Linked DNA regions of Oryzias latipes. The protein of the gene in region 2 interacts with the protein of the main gene of each other region in a pairwise test. Links are inferred from orthologs where the notes say so. Each region holds a gene or a part of one and is shown on either strand. Other genes may lie near its edges.

The links.
Region 1: the proteins of sncaip (region 2) and nub1 interact in a two-hybrid assay, tested with the Homo sapiens proteins (2 studies listed by BioGRID). The link is inferred for Oryzias latipes from reciprocal best matches to the Homo sapiens genes SNCAIP and NUB1.

Annotation. Positions count from the first base shown.
Region 1 is NC_019878.2:4,787,823-4,799,759, forward strand, and holds nub1 (NEDD8 ultimate buster 1), read right to left. Parts: upstream 10,495-11,937; 5' UTR 10,283-10,494; intron 8,962-10,282; 5' UTR 8,959-8,961; coding exon 8,842-8,958; intron 8,737-8,841; coding exon 8,569-8,736; intron 8,487-8,568; coding exon 8,422-8,486; intron 8,338-8,421; coding exon 8,273-8,337; intron 8,143-8,272; coding exon 7,984-8,142; intron 7,888-7,983; coding exon 7,799-7,887; intron 6,387-7,798; coding exon 6,280-6,386; intron 6,206-6,279; coding exon 6,019-6,205; intron 4,872-6,018; coding exon 4,764-4,871; intron 4,695-4,763; coding exon 4,542-4,694; intron 4,465-4,541; coding exon 4,318-4,464; intron 4,235-4,317; coding exon 4,157-4,234; intron 4,077-4,156; exon of another isoform or gene 4,055-4,076; coding exon 3,865-4,054; intron 3,714-3,864; coding exon 3,571-3,713; 3' UTR 3,122-3,570; downstream 1-3,121. Other genes in the region: crygn (gamma-crystallin N), read left to right, coding at 300-435; uncharacterized protein LOC101171205, read right to left, coding at 11,016-11,487, 11,594-11,792. UniProt on the Homo sapiens protein: Specific down-regulator of the NEDD8 conjugation system. Recruits NEDD8, UBD, and their conjugates to the proteasome for degradation. Isoform 1 promotes the degradation of NEDD8 more efficiently than isoform 2.
Region 2 is NC_019867.2:29,610,954-29,623,954, reverse strand, and holds the end of sncaip (synphilin-1), read left to right. Parts: intron 1-375; exon of another isoform or gene 376-863; 5' UTR 864-895; coding exon 896-952; intron 953-1,751; coding exon 1,752-1,824; intron 1,825-1,894; coding exon 1,895-2,433; intron 2,434-2,566; coding exon 2,567-2,714; intron 2,715-2,781; coding exon 2,782-3,038; intron 3,039-3,128; coding exon 3,129-3,308; intron 3,309-3,427; coding exon 3,428-3,541; intron 3,542-4,236; coding exon 4,237-4,362; intron 4,363-4,995; coding exon 4,996-5,165; intron 5,166-5,285; coding exon 5,286-5,375; intron 5,376-6,352; coding exon 6,353-7,328; 3' UTR 7,329-9,179; downstream 9,180-13,001. UniProt on the Homo sapiens protein: Isoform 2 inhibits the ubiquitin ligase activity of SIAH1 and inhibits proteasomal degradation of target proteins. Isoform 2 inhibits autoubiquitination and proteasomal degradation of SIAH1, and thereby increases cellular levels of SIAH.

The DNA.
Region 1 (11,937 bases), on a different chromosome or scaffold from region 2:
AACATGAAAGTTAGAAGATGTAGATGCAACTGTTCGTCTGTAGGTTCTTCCTGTTCCACATCATCTTTTGTGTTTTTAACCATTTGCTGGTTTCATGTCTCTAAAATAACATCACATGTCAAACAGAAACAGTACAAGTTATACAGAATTTTACAAAAATCTGTCATTTACCTTCATCCTCAAAGAAATTTGCTAAATTGGCTGACTCAGCAGGTAATTTTCTTTTATTAAATGATATTTACCACGGCAAACTGAATGTCTACCCATGTTTAACACCCGCCTCTTCCCTTCACCTCCAGCTGGGTGATGTACGAGGAGCCAAACTTCCGTGGTCGAATGTACATTGTGGAGCGCGGAAACTACTGCAGCCATAACGAGTGGCAGGCCCAGAACCCCAACATTCTGTCCATCCGCAGAATCGTCAACTACTTCTAAGCCCACGCGCCCTCTCCTCAGACTTTTACAGCAATGTCATCATGTACAATAAATAAACCCAGACTGAGATAAGAAAACAGGTTTTTTTATCAAACCTTGTGTGTGTGTTGTTTTGTGTGAGAACTTTTTGTCAAAAATTCTTTGAGGATCTCTTATATGAAAATGAAACATGACATATTTCAATCAGTTTAACTCTAATGTCATGGTTGAAAAGTTTTAAATTAAAGCTAGAGGGTTGCATTTGCATCCGAGCAACATAAAGTCAACCTACAACTGAAAATTTACATCTGTTTAGCCCTTATTCTAAAATCCTGTGTGGTGGGAGGCATCATGTCACAAGCTAAACAAACATCTACTGAATGCTTACTCAGTTCCAGCTAACGCAAACAGACAAATTCTGCCATCTAGTGGTTACTGGAGGCATCAGAAGGTGTCAGAGTCTGGTCCATTCTGCGTGAGAATGGGTATAAATCCACTAAAACCTTTTTGATTAACCTATTCACCCATGCATCCATACGTTTTTCAAAGTTTGGACCACAGGCACAGCAGAGCCAGTAAGAAAGTCCACACATCCTCTGCACACCTCCTTCAGCCCTTTTAGGTGGAACTGAGGTGAACAGGCATTTCCAGCTGCTCACAGACTAGAAAATGATTTATTTCACACTTCTATCATATATACATAGGAATCTCAAAACCACATAAAACGTGATTCAAACGGGGCCTACAAGCACTGATGGATCATGTCTCGTGTCATTAAATGGATTCTGTAAAAAGAATTGAAAAGAAAGGAAACCGGCTCATTGATCTGAGTTTACTCTGCCCAAGTCAACTATGACCCAAAACCAGTATTTAGGTGAAACAAAGTAACGTTTAAAGTTTTGATGAGTTTACTCACTTGGAAACCCACTTGCTAGTGCAAATTGGGGCTCTAACAAAACCAAAATGGCACATAAAATTATGAACTCCTCTGCCTTAAAGTTCCGATAAATGATGAACACAGAAAAAGAAAACACCAAAAAATGGCCCCGTACCCAGAATGTAAATAATCGATTTTTGGCATAGCTTTGAACTTTTTAACATGAGAGTCTATAGGAATTGCTCTCTTCAATAAACAAGCCCACAGTGGTGATTGGAGAAACAGCAACATTTAGTGCTTCCTGTTTTGTATCAAATTCAGGGACAGACAGTTGGAGTTTGATAAAAATAAATAAATAAAAGCATGTGGTCATGAGTGCAAATCCATAGCAGAGTCATGTCATATTTCAGTCGTTCGTATCCCTCCTCTCTGCACTCTGAGTTAAGAGACATTCATCTGCAACTGGATATGAGACTTTCTCACCAACAGACCCCAAGAAATAAAAATTAGCAGTCACCTCTTCTCCACACACGTCCTCACTACAGGTAGACCCCCACTCCTTTGCTTCCTATTCACCTATGACCGTACCGGCAGGCACTGCTCCAACCTCATCCTAAAGTTTGCCGATAACACCACCATCCTAGGTCTCATCCCAACAATGTCAAGACGCCTACGGAGAAGAGATGGCATCAATGATCAGCTGGTGTGAGGAAAATAAGCTCTAATAACTAAGGTGATGATCACAGACTTTAGGAGAAAGTGTAAAAACCAGCGCCCCTTCATCTACTGTACATCAACAACGCTGAGGTAGAGCAGGTCAGCAGCTTCAAATTCCACTGTGTCCACATAACTGAGAATTTGTCCTGGACTCTACATCACAAGTCTCAAACTCCAGGTGATGTTTTACAACGTATGTGCCATTGAAGATCCTTATTGGCTAAACACACCCGATCCAGGTAATCAATCGCAGATAAGACAGTATTTCTGGAAAACCAGCAGGATGCTGGCCCTCAAAGTCTGGAGTTTGACACCCCTGCTTTACATCCAGAGTAGTAAAGAAAGTCGGACAAAGACTGTATTTTTTAAGGAAGTTTGGTATAAACACCAAAATACAATGAGAGCCTTTTGACAGGCCATATCACAGTGTGGTACTGAAATAATGTCATTCTTTAGTAACTATTGTAGACATTTTGATGACGTGTCTTTATTTTCCGTCAATGTATTCTTTGTCTGCCTGTCGTTTAGTTGGTGTCAGTATTTGACATGGAGACAGCAGGTAATGCAGGAAACAGCTGCACTTTATGAGACCAGAAATACACAATCCGTCATTTAGAAAAAAAAATCAGCACAATGTTTTTTATGAATTTCTTCAGACTAACAATGTTAAATATATTGGTGCTGCTGTGTTAATGTTTCAGATCAATTAACATTTAAAATTATTCATTGAATTATTTTTTCTTAGCATCAAATGGTTCAGTTGGTCAAAATGATTCTAGTTTTAATAAGGACTGACAGATTTTTTATATCAGGCACTTTAAGCTTTTTTTCTGTTTTAGAATAACAGTGTTTCTGTGGCAAAATGAAGTTAATATTTGATATATGTGTAGTTATATATCGCCTTTTTCTTCTGTTAATGTTAAAAGATACACAATTTTTATACATACTAACCTAATATAGTGTCACCGCAGTGAGTGTGTGTGTGTGTGTGTGTGTGTGTGGGGGGGGGGGGGGGGGGGGGGGGGGGGGGGGCGAAACATTAGCTTTTTCCTAGGCGGGGCCTTGCAAAAATAATTGAGAAGCACTGTACTAACCCAAGTTATCAAGCAAACAGGAAGTTAATCCGTCATGTTTAATATTGAGACAGTCCACACAAAAATGTACAGCAACTACAAACAGGCAGCAGGACTCTGCAGCACCTTCATCTACAAACACTGTTTGATAAGCAGAAGGTTCTGGAAGACTCGGTGGATGTCTGCCTCAAATTGTCCAATCTGTGGTGGGTACCAGGAGTTGATCAGAGCAGGACACTGAAGAAGTCATGGCTGTTCTTCATCTTCACTTTTCTCACAGTAGAGGGACACACACAGAATCAGTCGGGGGCTGGCTCGGTTCTGACCCAGGCTGGATCTGTTGTTTTTGCTCAGATTGGTTAGATGTCAAACAATCTCTGAAAAAAGACAGAGCCTGCTTGAAACCCGGACTTTCGGGATTTGTTTGTGGATTCAGGATGGAAGCATGATGGTGCTGTGCTGTTCCGCACGTAGCGGGTCATGTGACCGTCAAATGGTGTGCACGGGTCCCGGGTTCAGGTAAGCCTTTAAGGTGGCAATAAGCTGGCCTTCCTCTTCCAGCGTCACGTCCAGATACTCCTCTTCATGACGGGGGATGTCCTCCAGAACCTCGTTGACCAGCTCACTCTCCTCTGAAAGAACAAAAACAAAAATTTGACCATCACTGACAGACACGCTGCTCAGGTTCTGACAGAACTCCTCTGATGTTCCCCGTGTCCAGTTTGGGTTTCAGCTAAAAATCCATTGTGGAAGAAGTGGACAGACAAATGAGTCTGGCTCTACCTGGAGTGGTGGAGGAGGTGCTGGGCTCCTCTGACGATGGCGAGGAAAGAGAGGAAAGAGGCTGACTCAGCAGTTCTGGGGAGAGGACACCTTGGTTGTCCAGCAGCAGCTGAGTTGCGGCCTGGACGTCCCCCGCCGTCAACCTGAGAGCGGCTTCAGACGAGTCCCTCTGGAAGCCGAGGTAGAGCAGCTGACAAACACACAAACACACACTGAAACACAGTGACAGGCACAAACTCAAACACAATGACAGACACAAAAACACTGAAACACACGGAAGAGCAGGGCACACCTGATCAATATTCTCCAGACCGACTCCCTCCTCTAGGTTGTTGTTGGAGCTTTCAGGCTGACTGGAGTCCAGCAGGATCTGTAGACACACCAATGAGTTGGGAGGCGCACGAGACAAAGAGTGCCCGTGCATGTGCACGGAGGGCTGCACGTGAGACTGACATTGTAGGCTCTGTCCACGTTCCCGTCAGCGAGGTGCAATGCTCTGGCCGCATCTCTCCTGGAGTATCCCAGCTCTGTCAGGGTGGAGATGGCGTCCATCCTCCTCTTCCTCTTCTTCCTCTCTCGTTGTTTTACTTCCTGCCGCTCCTGCAGGAAACCACACACTCAGACCAGGCGTTCTAATGATCTCAGAGCACAGGCGTGTGGGTGCACGTGTGCGGGACCTGTTGGCGGTTGCTGATGTACAAGGCAGCCTCCTGCAGCTCTCCGTGACACGCCCTCAGTCCAAGACGAGCTTCTCTCTCGGTGAACCCGAGCGCCATCAGCTGAGCCATCTTCTCTGAGTCCGGACACAGGCGGGCGTACAGGGACTCCACCTGACAGACAAGCAAACATTTGAGTGCTGCGTTGCATCAGAGCCGGTCAGGAGAGCTGCGGCGACCCACCTTGGACAGCTGCAGGCGCGCCTGGGCGTCGTTCCCCTCGATGTAGGACAGCAGGCTCTGCAGGAGGTACAGGCGCAGGAACAGAACGTCCTCTCGGCCAGAGTTTCCCTGAAACCAGTTGATGTGTGATTTATTGTTTGACAGCTGCATGCAGTTCTGCTGGAGCTGTTCGTCAGTGGCGGTCATCTGACGTTCATCTACTCGTGAAAACGATTAAGGAACCACTCCGATGAACAAGTTCTTGGGGCATTTTTCTAATGATGGAGAACAATGTCATATATATATATATATATATATATATATATATATATATATATATATATATATATATATATATATATATATATATATATATATGACATATATAAAGAAACCTACGATCAAAATTGTATTTGCTTTTTTTTTTATTTAAATTATAGTTAATAGGAGTGGACGAAGAAATGCCATTTGAAAAAAAAAACAGCCCAAAGTATTATAAATACGCTGGGCTGAACACAAGCTCCCAGCTCTGCTCCATTCTGATCCGTCTACTTGCAGACAAATAGATCCATGTATGCTGGGTTGCTGAAAAGGGGTAAAGGTGGTTGATTCCAGGGGCCCCAGACTGAGGGAGGGCCCACAGAGGCCCCTTAATGATGATGAAATAAGACAAGAAAAATTAATTCAAAACTGTATGGCTCGCCATTTTTGTTTCACCTTTAATGTTAAGTTGGGGATGTGACAGACTGTAAGCTAATGGGAGAGCACATAAACAGAGAGCTCTCAACAACAGGGATGGGAAGGGGGAGGGTTGCTCCGTGCACACAGTCCCGCCCACAGCTCAGAGATGAATTTCTAATGAACTCCAGCAGAAACTGCCCAAAAAAAAAAAAAAAAGTTTTTTTTTATTTGGCTAAAAATGGCATAATCATAATAAAAAGACCACTGGGAACACTTTTAAGAGATCAAAAAATGATTTAATTGGGACTTCAAAGTGTAAAAAGCTGAATCTGAGCATGAAATAATATATATATCAAACAAAGTAGTTCATCTTAGCATGAAGACCTCACAGCTGCAAGAATAGCAGAATCTGTGAGATGGTTTATGTTTGGCAGCAGGTCATGAAGAGAATGAACCTTCTTCATCTTTGAACCATCTCAGTGAAAGGTTACCTGCTCGCTGCTTCCATTCAGGCATATAATGAGAGAGAAACTTCTCACTGAAGCCTTTTCTCACCATCTGCCTGTGCGTGCACGTGAGTGCCCACGTGTCTCACCTGGATCCTGAGCAGCCTCTGCTGCTGCTCTCCGTAGCAGCGCAGGAAGCCGTCCTCGGCGCGCTGCAGCCGGCCGCGCCCATCCTCCAGGCAGCCTAGCGCCTCCAGAGCTCTGTAGCACCACACGATGTCCAGCTGCAGGACAGAGAAGTTGTCCACCGAGGCGAGCAGCGCAGAGCCGCACTTACTGCACAAACACACACAGACTCAATACAGGAGATGCTGCCGGAGGGGGAGGGGGGCGGAGGTGCAGCCGTGTACCTGAACTGCTCGTCAGCCTGCAGCAGGTGACACAGAGCGCTGTCGTACTGCTGCTTCTTCATGAGAGCACGGCCTCTCTCGTGGAGACCCATGGCCAGGATCAGAGCCTGAACACACACATCCACACACACACATAAATCACGTGCAACTGAGAGTGTGACCTTTGACAAGTCATGACAACTGATCTGAGCAATCCTGTCCAGCAAATTTCTAATCAGCCAATCACATGGTAGCAACTCAGTGCGTTTAGGCTTGTAGACATGGTCAAGACGATTTCAAACCGAGCATCAGAATGGAGAAGAAAGGTGATTGAAGTGACTTTGAAGCTGGCATGGTTGTTGGTGCCAGATGGGCCGGTCTGAGGATTTCTGAAACAGCTGATCTACTGGGATTTTCACCCACAACCATCTCTAGGGTTTATAGAGAGTGGTCAGAAAAAGAGAAAATATCTAGTGAGTGGCAGCTCTGTGGGTGGAAATGCCAGGTTGATGTCAGAGGAAAATGACCAGACTGGTTCCAGCTGATAGAAAGACAACAGGAACTCAAAGGAACTCTGGTTCCAACTGTGGTCAGCAGAAGAGCATCTCTGAATCCACAACATGTCCAACCTGGAGATAGATGGACTACAGCAGCAGGAGACCACACAGGGTGTCACTCCTGTCAGGTAAGAACAAGAAACTGAGGCTACAATTCACACAGACTCACCAAAACTGGACAATAGAGGATTGGAAAAACATCTTGTCTGATAAATCTCCATTTCTGCTGCAATATTTGGATAATTTGGCATGAACAGCATAAAGCATGGATCAACGGTTCAGGCTGGAGGTGTGTCATGATGTGGGGATATTTTTTTGGAACACTTTGGGCTCCTGTACCAACTGAGCATAGTTCCAACGCCACAGTCTACCTGAGTATTGTTACTGAGCATGTCCATCCCTTTCTGAACAGTGTATCCATCTTCTGATGGCTACTTCCAGCAGGATAAGGTGCCATGTCTTAAAGCTGGAATCATCTCAGACTGGTTTGTAGAACATGACAATGAGTTCACTGGACTCAATTGGCCTCCACACTCACCAGATCTTAGGAATGGGAGATTGGGATCATGGATGTTTAGCCGACTAATCTGCAGCAACTGTGTGATGCTTTCATGTCAATATGGACCAAACTCTCTGAGGAATGTCTTCAGTATCTTGTTTAATCTCTGCCACCAAGGATTAAGGCAGTTCTGAAGGCAAGAGGGGTCCAACCCGGTACTAGCAAGGTGGAGCTGATACATTGAGTGTATAGATAGATAATATATATAGTAAACTTCAAGTATCCTGCCTTAGTATAGACCAAGCATAATTGTAGTAGACTTAGACGACGTTTTGCAAAGGTTTTTGAGATTATCCAGAATTCAAACAAGGATGATGATCATAAAACACAATTGAGCTGCAAGATGAAAGACTGATGAACCAGGAGTGGAAAGAAAATCTAAAGAACAAAACTTTAGGAAGAGGAGTGTCTGCAGGATCCAAACCTTCTTCTCGTGGTGTGGGATCTTTAGTGGGTTTCCCTTCTGGTCTGCAATCTCCAGGTACGGCACGGACTCTGGATCCTCGCTGCCATCTGGTTCAGACAGATCAGCCATAGAAGCCAAATATTTTTCGTCCCAATCTCAAATGTAAATGTCCAATTCCCAAAGGGAAGAGCACTGAGGCCTACCTCTCTCAGACAGGATCTGGAAGCCTTTCTGGGTCCTCTGAAGGCTTTCGTTTTGCTCCTTCTTCTCCTGCTCTTCCTTGTTCATCTGCTCAGAGTCGCTCACCTTCAGCACCATCACCTTACTGTGATTCTTCACACCCTGCTCATCCAGACGCTGATCTGAAAATGCAAGGTTCTTCTACATCAAAGCTAACTGGTATAATAACTTTTGCATCTGAGGGTCTCCAGGTTCCTCAATGTCTCTGGTTCCTGAAGGTCCCTGTTGGTTCCTACGGGTTTATAGTCTTACCTGCGCACAGAGTTCTGCCATTGAGGATCAGTTTGATGTGTTGAAGGTCAAACTCCTCCCTGATCCTGCACACAGACACAGACGTTAACCCCCCCCCTCTTCAAACGGGGGTTGACCTAACCTGTGATTTCTCCACCTCGGGTGTTTACCTCTGCACCAACTGCTGCAGCGGCACGTCCAGCCTCGTCTGCAGGAAGCTCCTCCCCTTCAGATTCTGGAAACAAACGGACATCACTGCTTCAGAGGACATCTGCAGACCCTCTCTGAAGCATAAAGGAGAAGTCATGAAGACCCACCTTCCTGCTGTCTCTGGGCAGCAGCAGTTCAAGCGTGGCTACGCTGGTCTCTCTAAACATCTTGTTTCTCTTTCCCCTCTTCACCGCCTGTACTCTGATGGACTCTAGAGCGCCCCCTAACTCTGTGACTGACAGATGCAGCACAGGAGCGTAACGCTGTGCTAGCTCCTGCAGACAAAGGAACAGGATGTTAGAACAAAAGAAAACAAACAGGTATTTTTTTTTTATTTCACAATAAAAGCTGCAGAGTTTCTGCTCTCGTGTGAGGCTGACCTGCATGTGCATCTGTCCCGGCTGGTCATCGTCATCGGTGTACGGAGGACTCCACAGCTGGACCTTCTCCTGCTTCAGCAAGTTCTTCAGCTTGGCCTCTATGTTCTGCTCTGCCATGGTCTGTGAAAACACCAGCAGGAAGTGGGACTGCGCACACAACTGTGAGGTTTCTGACCCGCTTCTTTCCTGATTTCACGTTAAGCAGAATCTGCGAAAGTTATAAGAGTTGATTTCTATCCTTAAAAATGCCATCCTTGGTGCTCACAGATCGGAGGGCACTAGTTTGAAAAAGATCTGCATGGTGGTGTAGTGGTTAGCACCGTCACCTCACAGCATGTGTGGGTTTTCCCCTCCCTCAGTCCAAAAACATGCTTCATAGGTTAATTTGATGATTCTAAATTGGTGTGCATGTGTCTGTGCATTCCTGCGACTGACTGTTCCGGGTGGACCCCACCTTTGCCCATCAGTAGAACCCTGTGACCCCGAAAGGGATCCAACAGGTTTGGAAAATGGATAGATGAATAATTTTAACAACAAGACAGCACCACAAAAAGACATTCGTGGATCTGTAAACAGAGCAGCCATTAAAACCAGTATATGTGTGTAGGAAAGGACAAGGTCATCTTCAGCATAAAATCACATTTTGGGAAATATGTCTGGGAAATTTCTAGGGCACTTGATTTGGGAATTGTAGATTTGGACAGCCCTACAAAATGGCGAACGCACTATAGTGCATTATATAGGGGTCAGAATTCTGACAGAGCCTCTGTTATTCGTTTTTAATGTGTGACGTGAGCCCAGATACTTTTATTGAGGCATCTGATTGCTCAGTTTATAACTTGAATAACTTGCCTACAGAAGAAAAAAGGGAGAAATATCAGGATTATCAATAACAGACGACAGCAAGAATAGTTATTCTGACAAATAAAATGACTAACAGCTGTTTATTTCTCTATAAAAATCTATGGGATTTTGGAACAAGCGGGTACTTCCTGTTTGGGACACGAGGGGGGGGGGGGGTCACTCAGTCCAGGCAGAACTCACATCAAAGCTTATAGATTTGCCCAATCATGTTTTAATTTGTGTCGTTTCATCATTTGAAATGTTTATTTATGTAGGTGTTCGGGTGTTTTGACCGGAAGACATTGTTGCATTCTGGGAAATGTAGGAATGCGTCTGTTCATCATGAAAACGAGCAGATTTAAAACTGTTGTCTTAATCAGATGTCGATAGAAATGCTAAGTTACGTAAATAAGCCTCTGAGTCTGTCGTTAGGTTTCGCTCAACACAACCCGGATAACTTGGTGCGGCTGTGTGACCTACAACAGATCTGCGCTAACAAAAGTTAACAAATTTGTGATCATTTAACTGGACTAAAGGGTCCGTTTTGAGCCGAAAGTTTGGTTCGGGATCGGACAGGAACATGTCAGTGAGAACTCACCTCGACTGTTTACGGAACGGAACCGTCACGATGACAAAACAGTCAAAAGCCTGCAGATGTGGAGCGACGTGACGATGTTGTTTTGAAGCCAAGGATCGGTTCAGAGAAACTGCGACCCAAGAAGAGCCCCCACACCCTCAGAGATCCGCGACACGCACCACGGCCCGAAAAACCAGCCAGTTCCGGCCCGCGAGGAACCAGCAACCCATCAGCTCGTCAACAATAGATGATCTTGGCAAAACTACGGTGTCTGACGAGGGTCCAACTTTCTCCGTCTTTTTCAAAAAGCAACATTTAAAAAAAGTAGTATACAAATGTGGCTGGAAATATTATACTAACTTTATTTAAGCATTTGAAACTCAAAAGTATTCTTTTTGAACATAAGATGTGTGATCAACAGACCAAAAACTCAAAAAAAGTTTTGCTAATTTTATTTATGTAAAGATTAACCAGAACCACAGGATAATGCTCTCAACATTTGACTATTGATTTTTCTTTATAATGGACACTGCAAAACTAAACACAAAAGGGGATCCTCAATGGCTCTTCTTGAGAACTAATTGGTGGATATGTTGACGCTCCCTGAGGACCCTCCTCATTAAGATCAGGGAACCGGAAATAAGAAGAACTGATTTGGTTCTTGGTTTGTTTCCCGAGCTTCTCAAACGTTGTCTGAGCTCTTCCTGTTCTGGTGCTTTTGGATTTGATTGGTTCATGAGGTTGTGCAAGGCTCTCATGGGGAGTACAGGCCAAGCCTCCTCGCAGCCTCAGAGAGCCTTGGAGGCCTCCGTTTGGGGAATGGGAAAGGGTTCTGAGAGGACGAACAGACTCCTCCTTCACTGAGCTGGCGGCCAAACCTGGGAGTTGGAACCAGAGCTGAACACCAGCCAGAAGACTGGTTCTGCTCCTGCTCCTCAGTGGTAGGGTGGGGGCAGAAACTATCCAAAGTAGGGGTCTCTTCAGAGTTGGTAACTTTGGTCTTCAGGGTGGAGGAGGAGGAGACAGGAACCTCCTCACTGGGATCCAGAGAACGCTGGACCTGACTTGAACCAGGTCTGCCATAAAACTGAAGGTCTGAACGCAGCTCAGATCTGTCAGTACAAACACGCTCTTCTTGTGCAGAGAACACACTGGGTGAGGTTTCTTTGGAGCTGCAAGGAGATCCTGATGGTTCTCTGGTTCTAGATTTAGAGGAAGGCCTAGGCCTGCACAGAAGAAAAAAAAAACAGATCCGGTTTCATGTGAAGATCTTTGTTCTCCAGAAGTGCAGTGGAAGCGAACCAAAATGAGGGAGGTTGACGAGCAGTGCACCTGAACAACAGCGGTGACTGGGCAGAGACAGCAGGTCGGGATCTCCGATGGAGGTCCAGGTGGACGTGCCAGGGGTCATACATCTTTGGGTCGCAGTCAAAATTGGCGGTTGAAGATATGGAGCTGATTGGTTCCAATGGCAGAGTTAAACCCTGAGCAACAGGGACAATGCTGAAGGCCTCAAACCGCTCCTCGGACACTGGAAGCAGATCAGACAGTACTTTAAAGTTCCACTCCAATCATCTTTTGATCTATTGTAAAAGTGTTCCCAGCCGTCTTTTAATTATAATTATGTCATTTTTAGCCCAAATCAAAATTCCTATGTCATTTTCTAGGACATAGTT
Region 2 (13,001 bases):
GGCAACTGACAGGTGTGGTTGTCCCGCCCATTTTGCTGTTTCTTTTGGAACAGTTGGGGCTTGATGATGTCAACAAGATGGCGTCAGAAGTGAACAATGGCTTCAGATCAGTTTATTTGCCCAACATGACTTCAGGGTTTTGGGTCACATCTGAGCCGGACCCAAAAGGGGTTTTGATGTGTTTAGGAGACAAAAAAAAGGTTTAAGTTTTCTGAACTTTAAATGAAAACGAACAAAAAAACATTTGAACCCAAAAAGATAAGATTTTTGGTAGTTTATCAGTGAGCAACAACTTTCCTCTGTCCTATCAGCACCATAGTCAGAGGCTAGAAATTCCTAAAGCTGGTGGATTTTAATACATGAGAAGTCGAGATAAAAAATAAGAGCTGGGAAACCTGAGCTGTGTGTCAGCAGGGGTCTGACCTGAGCTTTTTGACTCTAGAAAAGATGGGAACTCTGTTCTTTTGTAACCATGCATGCTCTGAAGTCGGGTCAGTGAAGCATGCTGGGAAGCGTGCAGGTCCATGGCTGCTGCTTGGTTCAAGTCAGTTCTGGCTCTGACAGGGAGTCACGCTGACTAATCCTGATTATCCTGTCAGCTGCCTTTGATCAGCACAGCTCAGGTTTAGCTCCAGGACAAAGGCGCCGTTTTCCCCTTTTCCCAAAAACACAAGTGACTCACTTCCTCATGTTCTGCTGGTTTTCTGTGCAGAAGCTTGCTTCAGCCCAAACATTGAATCCTGCTTTTTCCTGCGCCCACTTCCTGTCTTGCTGTTTCTGCAGATTGGATCGCAGCTGAGTGGGTGTGTTTTTCAGAGGTGACTGACTGAAAGTTGTGTGTGTGTGTGTGTGTGTGTGTGCAGGTTGGCTGTGAGGCTGACGATGTGGTGGGAACATGGAGCCTCCTGAGTACCTGGACCTGGATGAGATCGACTTCTCTGATGATTCAGTGGTCAGTATCTCGAGCAGAAACGACACAAACTCAACCGGCGTCTTCCCCACACCTTTCTACCTCAATGGGCTTTTCTTAAACCTTAGTCCCAGCTGCTCTTATGGGTGGATACATGCTGTCAAACCCGTGGGGGGGGGCACACAGGGGGCTCGCACAAAACTTCAGTCGTAGACAACTCGGTGAGCCCGTAGAGAGAAAATGTTCATGCACATTTTTTCTACGGGCGTGCAGCAGGTGGTCGTAGTTAAGAGATTTTTGTAGTTATACTTTTCTATATACTTTTAAAAGCAATTCAGTCACTACTTTTTTGTTTTTTTAACAGTGATGATGATGTCATCAATTTCACGAAGTTGAAATTGTTTGTTAAAGAGGTTTTGCGATGACCATTTATGAATCCACTATCTTCTGAAGGTTAAATGGTTGGTTTATTAAAAAAAAACATTTAAATACATTCTTTTGGCCAAAACGCAATGCATTGTGGTCTATATTCGCTAATCCAGTGAGCATCGATGCACACTAGTTTTTTCGCAGAGACACTCGATTTTCGAATTGTAGATCCAAACAAGCACTACAAAAAGTCAAACGCACTATGTAGTGCGATATGTTGTGAGTCGTGAAGGGATTTGCACACAACACTTGTGTTCTTATGACCGTGCAGACAGGAAATGACATCATAGCGGGGTCACAGGAAGGGTCACTAGGGTTGAAGCGGTTTCTCCTCGCCCGTTTAATTCCTGCAGCTTGGTGTTTATATGATGAGCTCAGGGTCTCACTGCTCGCACCCCCCGTTGTCCCGCAGTACGCCGTCTCCTCCCTGAAGAGCATCCCTGCGCTGTCCCGCAGGAGCGATGTGCCGGCCGAGGACAGAGCAGGTGTGTTTGATCCTGCCTCTCTTCCCTTGGCGCTCACCGCCTCACACACTCACCTGTTTTCCTCCCGCAGCTCCGCCCATCAGCTGGGGCCGCAGCGTCTCCTCACACGGCGGTGGGGGGATCAAACCGGGGGGGCTGGCTGAGGTCCACAGTAAGTTTCGGCCGGTGAAGAGGGTGTCCCCCCTCAAACACCAGCCCGAAACCACAGACTCGGACTCTGAGGGGAAGGACCAGGCGCTGGGGGAGCAGGAGGAGCTCGGCAAAGATGGCCCCACCTCTGTCAAGCACTCCAACCCCCCCACACCGCTGGATGGGTCTGGGATGAAGGTGAAGGGGCCCAGCAGCAGCATGGGGGAGGGGGGCGGCCCCCAGGCTCTGTTCGGGGAGCTGGAACACTACGACCTGGACATGGATGAGATCCTGGACGTGCCTTATATCAAGTCCAGCCAGCACGTGTCCACACTGCCTCGAGCCCCCCTCGACAAGCGATCTGTGATGGGGGGTAATGCGGGTGGGGGCACGCTGGAGAGGAGTCGAGGGGGGGTCCTGAAGAGCTCCGGTCTGCCCCATAATGAGCCTGTGAGTTTGGGCAGTAGCTCGCAGACGCAGGTGAGTCCTCTGTCAGAAAGTTAGTCTGTTTCAACCCGCCCAAACACACACGCCCCACCTCCACCTACACAATAATGGGTGTAAAACATGGGGGGGGGGGTCTTAAACCTGTGCTGTCTCTGTTTTCCTCCAGTTCTGTGTTCTGTCTCCGCTGAAGTGGTCAGATCTACGGAAGTCCAGGTCCATGGATCCAGACCTCCACCTCCTCAACCGTTCTCCAGGTGGGGGGGGTTACCAGCCGGAGCCTCTGTCCTCCTCCCTCGCCTCCTTCTCAGATGCAGGTGGGGCCTCAACCTCTCCGCTCTTCCCACGTAAACACAGAAAGTCACTAATCGGACTCGTTTCCAGACAAGCTGCTGTCTGCTCGCGTCTTCCCGGACTCCCAGAGACCCCCCATGGATCCTCCGGGGGGGTCAGGACTGGTCTTCCCCCTGCCGGGCTGCAGCTTGAGCAGGCAAGACAGCACCAAGGTGAGGACCCCTAGTGCTGGAAGTGGAGCAGTGGCACTGAGAGGCTTTGGAATAGCAGGAGGGGAGGTGGATGAGGAGACCAAAAAGAAGCAGAACATCATCAACATCGTCAGGGAGGGGCAGATCTCACTGCTGGTCAGTCACACCCTCACTGTTTATTAACAGGCGTCCTCAGCGCTGCCTTCCTCACCTGCATCCCCCCCCCCCCCCCCTTCTCCTCCTCAGCCTCACCTGGCGGCAGACAACCTGGAACTGATCAGGGACGAGGATGGAAACAACCTCCTGCACGTCTCCGCCTCCCAGGGCCACGCCGACTGTCTGCAGCATCTCACCTCTCTGATGGGGGAGGACAGCCTGAACGAGCGCAACAGCCAGCAGCTGACGCCCGCCGGCCTGGGGGTCAAGGTCAGTTCCTGTCACGGTGTGCCAGGTCTGCGCCCAAAATTGTGTTGATGCAAACACGAGTGGAGATTGGCTCAGAGAGGAAGCATCATCCTGACTGAATTCACCCCGACTGTGTGCAGAACGGTCATCTGGAGTGTGTGCGGTGGATGGTGAGCGAGACGGAGGCCATCGCCGAGCTCAGTTGCAGCCGAGAACATCCCAGCCTCATTCATTATGCGGCTCGATACGGTCAGGTACGATCCAACGTCAAATCAGAACCCAGAAATCTGTTCCTGTCAAGGACTTTATCCTTCACACACATGAAATGATTTCACACAAAGACGCCTGTCGTGGGTCAATAAAGGCAGAGGCGCCAAGGTGAAAGTATTCCTGTGTTTAATGCAAGAACAGAGCACAACAACTGCTCCACAAAGGCCAACCAACATATGTTTCTCCACCTAGACTCCCACACTCCACTCTGACACCTGTAACAGGTCCTCTTTAAAATGGTAAGCCCCTCCTCCAGGGCGTAGCTCTCCATCAGTCCAAAGGAAGAAGGAAAAGAGTTTTACATTGTTCAAAAACATAAACATTCAGAAACAAACAGTTTCATACAAAGAAACATTCTGTGTTCATTACAAAGAAATTCCAATAACCCTTAATAAAAATAAATACAAACAAAGACCGATGCGTCACATGACCCGGTGTGTCGATGACCACTTCAAGGTAAACAAATGAACTCTAATGATGGCGTCGTGTGTGATTCGTGTAAATGTATGCGTGAGGATGATGAGTCGGCAACCTAGTGTGCTACCTGTAGGGGAATAGGAACGGAAAGAAGAAGGTAAGTTAATGTAGATGATGTGTTTACTGGTCCCTGCGTGCGCGTCAACTGCTGTTTTGAAGGAGCCCCCCTCCTCAGCATCCGTCTGTCTGTCTGTGTGTCCAGGAGAAAGTCCTGCTGTGGCTGCTTCAGTTCATGCAGGAACAGGCCATCTCTCTGGACGAAGTGGATCAGAACGGGAACACGGCCGTCCATGTGGCAGCTCAGTACGGACACCTCACCTGCATACAGGTGAGCTGAACATCCTGTAGTGACGAACACGTCAGTATCAGGCAAAGATTCATTTGTCCAAACAAAATTCATTTCAAATCCATCAAATAACATGTAGAGACTTTTTGTACCACGACTGAGAAGTTTTTCACCTTTTTGTTTTGTTGACTAAAAGAGGAATAAGGAGAGCAGCACCAAGACTTGTAAATGAGATTCTATGGATGTTCAGGATCAGCAGGATGGTTTTCCGGGTGTAACTACAGCTGGAAGAAGTTACCACAAAAACTAGGCCGAGTGCACTTCAGTACTGTGATCCGCGGCTTTGCTTTTATTTTGAAAATAACTAAATAAAGAGCCAGTCACTTTAAAAATGCTTCAGACTTTGAGGAGTTTCTGTCATAAACAAAGCTCCATACGTTGTTACTGCATTTTTCCCATGATCCCGTCTCGCTCATGAAGCCATGACATCCTTCCTGTCCATGAATCTCATGCCCAGACAAAACCTCTACTCTGAGAGTAAACCAAACAGGAAGTGTGGAAGCAATCGCTGTAAAACTCAAACTGGCGGAAAGAACGAGTGAACTGAGTCTTTGCAAGCTTCATCAGCTCTCGTCAGACTCCTCCTGGTTCTGATCTGAGCTCACTTGTGCGCAGACTCTGGTGGAGTACGGCTCCAACGTGACGGTCCAGAACCAGCAGAGCGAGCGGCCCTCCCAGAGTGCTGAGCGGCAGGGCCACACCACGTGTGCCCGGTACCTGGTCGTCGTGGAAACATGCATGTCGCTGGCCTCGCAGGTGGTCAAACTCACCAAGCAGCTCAATGAGTAAGTTGTCGTGTGTTTGGGTCAGGAAACCTGTCCAGAGCTGGTGGACGGAGGGAAAAGTGTCTTTGACGATGCAGAAGCAGTGAAGGCGCCTTGAGCTCCTCTGGCGTTGCTTTGCAGGCAGGCGGCAGACAGGGTCAGCTTACAGAAGCAACTCCAGAGACTGATGGACCCCAACAAGGGAGAGGGGACGCCATCCAGATCTCCCAGGTACCACAAACACACCACAGACTAAACTTCACAACTTTAGGACTCACTGGTGATGCCAGCGTTGGTTCGTGACGTCTTGATGTCTTCAGCAGTGGGTGGAGTCCAAAACCAACATGGAGGTGAATCTGATCGGTTTCCTCCTGGACTTTATAATATTTGTCTTATTTGCATCGAGTCAATAATGAAAAGTTCCTGTAATTTTATTTTTTCCCCTCCTCGGACTAATGTGGGACAGCAAGTCATCAAACTGGGTCACAGAGAGACGGAAGTAGCGCTGAAAGCGTCCGTCATTCAGACGCAGCTCCTGCAGGAGACGGTGAAGCTCACCGCCTCTGATTGATCTCTGAACCCAGACATGGAGACGCGATTACCGGTGCTTTTGTAGAGCTCTTCAAAATAAATAAATCTGATCTCCGAACATCATCTGTGTCATCCGCAATGTAACGATGAGGCTGAACACTTTTGCAGTAGCTCCGCCCATATGGGGCGGAGCGGCAGATGTATGAACACAAGTGTCCAGCCGTGAATCGGAAGCCCGTCTGAATAAAGGCAGAGGACGCAAATTTAATAAGCCAATTGTGTTTGTGAACACAGCATCATCTGTCCCATCGCTTTACTTTACTTTACTTTGAAAATCCGTTTTGAATGAGAAGAAAACACAGAACGTGAAAACTATGGAGGGAAAAAACAGCCAAGCTTCGTTAATTGCTTACTTTCATAAATAGTTCTTGGAATAAGTTTATATCAGAGTAACAATACTTAAAATTAGTTATCTGAACCGACCAAAAACACTAGAACCAGTTTATTTCCAGTTTCTGTCTCACTTCTTTGTGTGAAACAGATCTGAAAGGTCAAAGGTCGGAGGTGATTCTCAGTCGTTTTTCTCTTCTACAGTCTTGACAAAACACTTCAGTTGAACGATGTCCAGGGATCCATTTACTGTCTGATCCATCCTCGTCTCCCTCTTTGAACTCCAGCTCCCATCAACCCTCAGTGGAGGCGTGGCCAGAGATGATGCTGACAGCGGAGGGGACGCCCGGCGACACCCACTGGTCAGTTCGTCAGGGAGGGGTGGGGCCCGATTCTGTGCTGCGTCAGCTGCTGGGAAAGGACGTGCCTGACTCCCTGTGCCCCCGGGAGAGGCTGCCCCCCCCGGCAGGCCTTGGAAGAGAGGGCCCCGGACCCGCTGGGGGCCGCAGGCTCGGACTGGTGGAGAGGCGGGAGCTGAAACTGGCCAGGCTGAAGCAGATCATGCAGCGCTCCTTAAGCGAGTCCGACTCGGATGGGTATCCACCCGAGGAGGGCAAGAACCAGGGGGGGGCGCACCCAAACACGCAGAGGCCGGATAGGCCCACCCACCTGCCGATCGCAGAGGAAGAACCCGGACCAGACTCCCTCCACCTTGTGACGAAGAAGCAGCTCTCTGCCCCCTCCTCGTCAGCAGAGAGGAGGCTGGCCTTCTCTCTGAACGGATCCAAGTCTGCAGACAGCATCGGCGTTAACTCCTCCCCCACCTCCAGCGACCCCGAAGCTGCTGACGGGAAAACTCCGGAGACACCCAACGACGCGCATGACGGACAGAAAGTCGCAACCAGCCCCAAGAGCGCCCTAAAGTCGCCCTCATCACGCAGGAAAACGTCCCAGAACCTCAAGCTGAGGGTCACCTTTGATGAGCAGGTCCACAAGAGCTCCAATCAGGAAGCAGAGCCTTCCAAAGGCCCGCAGGGGCGGGGGGGCACCTCAGCGGGGGGCTCCGAAAGCAAGCGGCCGTTCGGGGCGTTCCGCTCCATCATGGAGACGCTGAGTGGGAATTCCAACCACAACAACAACAATACTCAGGCAGGCTCCGCCCCCAAACCAGCCACCTGCCAGGGCTCCCCCAGCAGGAAGTCAGAGGGCAAAAGCAGCCCAGGGGGCGGAGCCAAGAGCAAGAGCAAAAGCAGTAACGTTTGAGGAAGCTGATGAGGCGAATCCTCTCACTACTTAATGCCACTATAAAGGGCGTTTGCCGTTTTTTTCGGGGTGTCCAAATTCTCAGAGTCCTGAAATTTTCCCAGAAGCCTTTGCTGAGAACCAGACTGGCAAACTGGAAAATACAGACCACAATGCATTGAATTTGAACAGTTTTTTTAATTAAAAATGTAAATTAATGTTTCATAAATCATCTAAATTTTTATTGGAGAACCCAAAAAGATTCATAAGTGACTTTTTTTAAAATGTTGATCAGGTTTTCACTTGAGAAGATGGGTGACGTCATATTTAAGTTCAAGTGAGCACGAGTCAGAGCTGCACTGAAGTCCAGCGATAGTCCTGCACCACGTGGTCGTTTAGGGAGTCGGGAGGGAAGCAGACACAGAGTTCATCGCCATGGAGAGGTGCAGGTGGGCGGGGGGGCTGTGTCTCTGTCCGGGGGGGGGATCCTCTGAGCTGTTTGTTCAACTGGATCATTGCATTGACTGTAAATGAAAACTGGACTGAGTGAGTGTGAGGTCACCCATGGAGAAGAACTCACTTCCAGTTCCCGCAAAATGAAGTCGGACCACTTTGGAACCAGACATTAGTTAGCAGTGATTGGGCTGAATCGACGTTTTTCTATGGCAACCACTTGTGCCTGTTGGAAGGCCACGCCCCTTTGGGCTACACCGCATACTTCTATTGAGGCATCTTAAAAAAATATAAACAGATGAGGATTATAAAGAAAATGTTTTTTAAATAAAGGCATCAGATCCAGAAAGGTTCTTGTGACCAATGAGTAACGACTGTTACTCTATAGACGTCTACGGGATATTGGCTTCTTGGAGCCAGGGGGTACTTCCTGTTTGGAAAGCGAAGGAAGGGTCTCAGAGATTGGCAACTCCAGACATCCGAGCGCTACTGGTGACGGATTACCTGGTTCAGGTGTTTCCAGCCAACGGGAACATGCCAGAGCGGGGTATGTTGGAAAACATGCATGCGGCCCTCGAGCCGCCCATCCTGGAGTTATATGCCATAGAGAGGGGGGGTTAGAAGGCTTCAAATGAGCAATGATGATGATGATGATGAAGGGGCGACATCTTTGCTGGCTTTCTGAATCAATTCAGACTTACAGCAGCAATTCAGTCAAATTCTGGTTCTTTTACTCATTTCCATTCAAAACGTCTTAAACTTGTTAAAATGATTAAAGAGAGGATGTGCAGTTTGAAAAAAAATAATGTTAAAGCTGCTTTTGCCAGAAAAAGATGAATTTAAATGGATTCAGTTGATTTTCAGAGTCGGCTCTCCTGAACAGAAACGGCTGTGAGGAAGAGCTCTGCAGGATGAAGGACGTTTGGATTTAGTTTGAATTTGTCACTTTTGTTTCTTCTATTGAAAGGAAGAGTCCTTGTTCTTTTTGACTTATATTTATGTTTCTGCACACAGTTATGATTTATGATAAACGTGCACAGTGTTAACATGTAACAGCACAACAGAAAACCACTGTATATATATATATATGTTTGTATTTAAGTTTTCTTTGCTTTGACTTGTGTTAAGGATCTATGCAGTATTTTTGCATGAAGTAGATAGGTAGGTAGCTGTGTGATTTTCAGACGGGGGGGTTCAACGATGCACCTTCTACCAAGTATTGATGGATGATGAGGATGATGATGAAGGCTGAGAAACGTTTAATTGTAAGTGAAGCTCCTCTCCTGACTGAAAAAGTGAAGCTGGACTCACAGAAAAGCTGCTTTTCAACATCACTAATGAGAGCTTTAGCCTCTTTTTATGGAGCTGACTTTGATCTGACGTGTTTACAATAAACATTTGAGGTTTCAAAAGAAAAAACATCTTTGTTTGAAGCAACACCGATCAGTTTATTACATTTCTATTTCCAATTAAAGTGGTCTGGTTATGAAAAATGAATTTTCTTAAAGCCACAGAGGGCATTCACACCGGCACAGACGACGGGCTGCAGACGAGATGACGTCATCGACCAAATAAGCAATTTCCCCAAACCGTAACCCAAAAGTGTTCAGAATTGTAAAAGAAACATCGGCCAGAGGGTCTGCAGGACCGTGTTTGCTGCCCTCAGGTGGACAGCAGTTGGAACTGCAGGATGGGTCCAGGTGGTTTCAGTCCTCACTTCTCTAGCCCTTGTGCTATCAACGGCACATTAACGTTGGAAGTGGGGTCCAGATGACCCCACAAGACGGTGAACCTTTTTTCTTCAATGATTTTTGATCCTCACTGGTTTCCAAGGATTACATGAAATCCTCTCCACCTTTGTCAGGGTAGCGATAACACGTCAATGTAAAGGTGGGGTCAGGACCCCCCCCCCTCCCCGTCCGATTGAGATGGATGCCTTGTGTGAATTGTTGTGTCCTCTAATTTAGCGAGCGATTCATAACGCCGCCTGAATGTTGGCCGCCCCCACCGCCGCAGCAGGATCAGAAATGGTCACTTAACGGCGTGCGATTTATGGTTTTTGGAGGACAAATTGGCCTTTGATGGTTCCCACGCGGCGGGCAGCGTTCCCCAGGGGCTGCGAGAGGGGGGGGGGGGCTGTAATGGGGCCCCTTCATCATGGCCGTGCATATGAAACATGAGCCCCACAATTAGTGAATCAGCACGTTAACCTGGGGGGGGGGGGGTCCCCGCCTCCAAACGGCCCCCCCTGTCCAGCAGAGGTGAAGTTAAACTGATAAATTAGGACTCGTTCATTGAACAGCAGTCTGAGTCGATGCTGGGGGGGGGCTCTGCTACCACTAATTGGTTGGCTGTGTTTAGATGGAGGGTTGGGGGGGGGGCACACAGAAAGTGGCTGTGTTCCGACACGAGCGGCAAAAACGGACGAGACGAGCGTTGGAGCTGACAGCCGTTCAGACGGGTGTGGGGGGGTCATGTATGGATTTTTCTGTCTGTTGTTTCGGCTTATTTGTGTGCTTCTTTTACTCAGTCAATCAAATTTAATTGACACCGCTGGGCTGTGGCCGGGGGCCCCGCGGCATGCTGGGATGACAGGCCTTTAATGCCAACCACAGCAGAGGAGGTTCTTCTGCCGGTGAAGGGTGGACCGTCCGGGGGGGGGGGACAATTCCTCAGACCGTCAGTGGCATTAATTGATGCGATGACGGCCATGATGGATACCAACCATCCCAACCTTTATGAAAAACGCTAATTAGACGCCTGCCGCTCTGCCCAGACTGCTGAGGATAAACACCATTCATCTTCTGTGGGGTGGGGGTAAGGGGGGGGGGCACACAGACAGACACGCAGCATCATTGAGATGCAGATCTTACATGTAGTTGAAGCGGCAGGAAGGAGGGTCCCTGTTTTATCCCCAAACCTGGAGCCAGATTTGCTGGAGGGGGGAGGCTCAGACCCATAGCGATGAAGGCGACCGAACCCAAACCGAACTGGGACTTTCCTCTGTGCTGCAGCTGCTGCACCTGATGCCCCAAACACGTTTTCTTTAAACAGTCAAAAGGACTATTTTGTTATTGTTTATTCAAATATTTGGTGCTCCATCTTTCTGCTTCGGCTCTGTTATGGTGTGCAGTTCCCCAACGGGACAGCAGGGGGCAGCATTGTAATTCAGAATCACTGCCAGAACCAGTGGACCTCATTTTTCTGGCATTTGGCCGCTGAAGTGACGGTGGTTCTGCTGATCCGAGCCTTGTTTGTTTGTTTGGTTTCCCTCATGACCCCCACCCCCCTCCCCGCACCACACAGACGGGCTCAGGCCGCTCTGAAATGTCAGAGATGCATCTTTGTAAAAGTAGAAGATCCTCAGAGCTTCGTGTTAAAAGGATGAGAAAAATGCAGGAAACCATGGCAACGGCTTCTCTGATGTAATCCTAAAACTAACTTTTTTGTTGTTCTACAACCTACTGTAATCAACTTAGAAATGTTTTTCTTTTCCTGCATTTTGTTTGCAGAAAATATCAAATATGCCCTGAAATGATGCCAAAACTTACATGGATTCATTAGAACAAAATTAGATTTTGTTTGTTTGTTTACATTTAGGTGGAAAACCTCAGATCTGGCTGAAGATCTGGAAGAAGCTTCTAGATCTAGATCTTCACCGGTTCTTCTCCAGATTGGCATCACTAAACTCAACATGAGGGTTGGGTTTTGGTAAAAGCTGAAAGCCCAATGGAAGATGATGAATGTTCAGGAATGTTTTCTTTTCTTCTCATTGATGAAGAGTTTTTATGGATTTCTGAATCCCAATACCGTAATGAAGTTCACCTTTGCGAGACTCTTGATTTCTTCCTTGATGTCATCCAACTGTCAGTCGAGTCCTGTTTCCCTGAAACCAGTGTTTGCCCCGCCCCCTTTAATGTCTGCTGACTGATCTCTATGAACCTCCGTCACGGAGCTCAGTCCCGCTGAGTCCCGATTGGCTACAGAGTCGGTTCCTCAGGAAGCCCTCTTTGTCAGGTGTGAATGCTCACCTGAGCTCCGGATTGGACCAAACAAGTGCGCTGCGGTGCGGTTCACTTCAGTGTGAATGCAGACGGACCAAAGAGAAGAAGAGAACCAAAGGGAGTAGAGGAAGCAAATTTGAAGATGCATGTATTCAAATAAATAGATCAAATGTCAAAACACTCAGGGGGTACATGTGGTGCAGTGGAGAAGTTTTTGGTTGTCTTTGAGAGTCCAGACCTTCACTGAAGACCAGCCTGAAAACCTGAGCCATCAGAGAAACTTCATCTGAAAAATGGACGGAGACTTCTGGCGTTCTGGCGTTTGTTTTTCTCCTCAGACATGCTGCTTGTGTAAAGAATCCTGATCCGGAACACATCTGAGGTTCTTTACCTTTGTTGGTAAACGACACCCCGGCGGCTCAATTAGACCGAGCACAACTTGATAAGTAGGACTGGTTTTGTTTGAGCTGGAACATTTTTACCGAGGTGTTTTATGGAGTACATTTCCTCTAAGCGGACTCGGTGGATGGCAGCACGGACCCCCCACCCCCCTAAACTCTGCAGCTTAAATGATTTGGTGGTTCAGGTTCTGAGAGTCAACCCTTCTGATGGCTGCTTCTCCCTCGCTCTGTTATCCCCTCAGCATGGAAATAATGGTCAAATAAAACTCTCTCAATTTGCAGACGGGCCTTCGGGGAGCTCCTTAAGGGCCCCCGAGGGTCCAGAGACCCCAGTCAGGGAGGCCTACATTTACAGGCGGCAGTAATGATGCTTGTTTGTCCAGCCGCGTGTAAATCACAGCAACATTAGAGCTGTCACAAGATCCACCGAGACCCAGCAGAGCCTCGGATCCATAAAAACCCTCAGCCGGGGCACAAATGAAATATGTAACCAAAGGAGCTGCAGCCGTCCTCATCCAGAGACCCGTCGGTGGTCCACGGCCATGAAGGGTCAACCAGAGTGGCCTGAAAAGATGTCCGGAGACTCCTCCCCCAAAGGCAGGTGACCCTGAGCCTCACTGCCATTCGCTCAGACCAGTGGGGGTTCTGCCTCTCCACATTCCTGCAGGGACCAGATAGTTCAGGTCTTCTTTCTTGTGGCCCCTTTGAGCAAAGGTTTTACTCTGACCGTACTCGCATGAACCTGGTACACAGTGAAAAAAGATCATCTCCCAGCAGGAGAGACCATCAAAAACAAAAGAAAGAAAGAAAAAAAAGCGTTGCCCTGATACTAACTG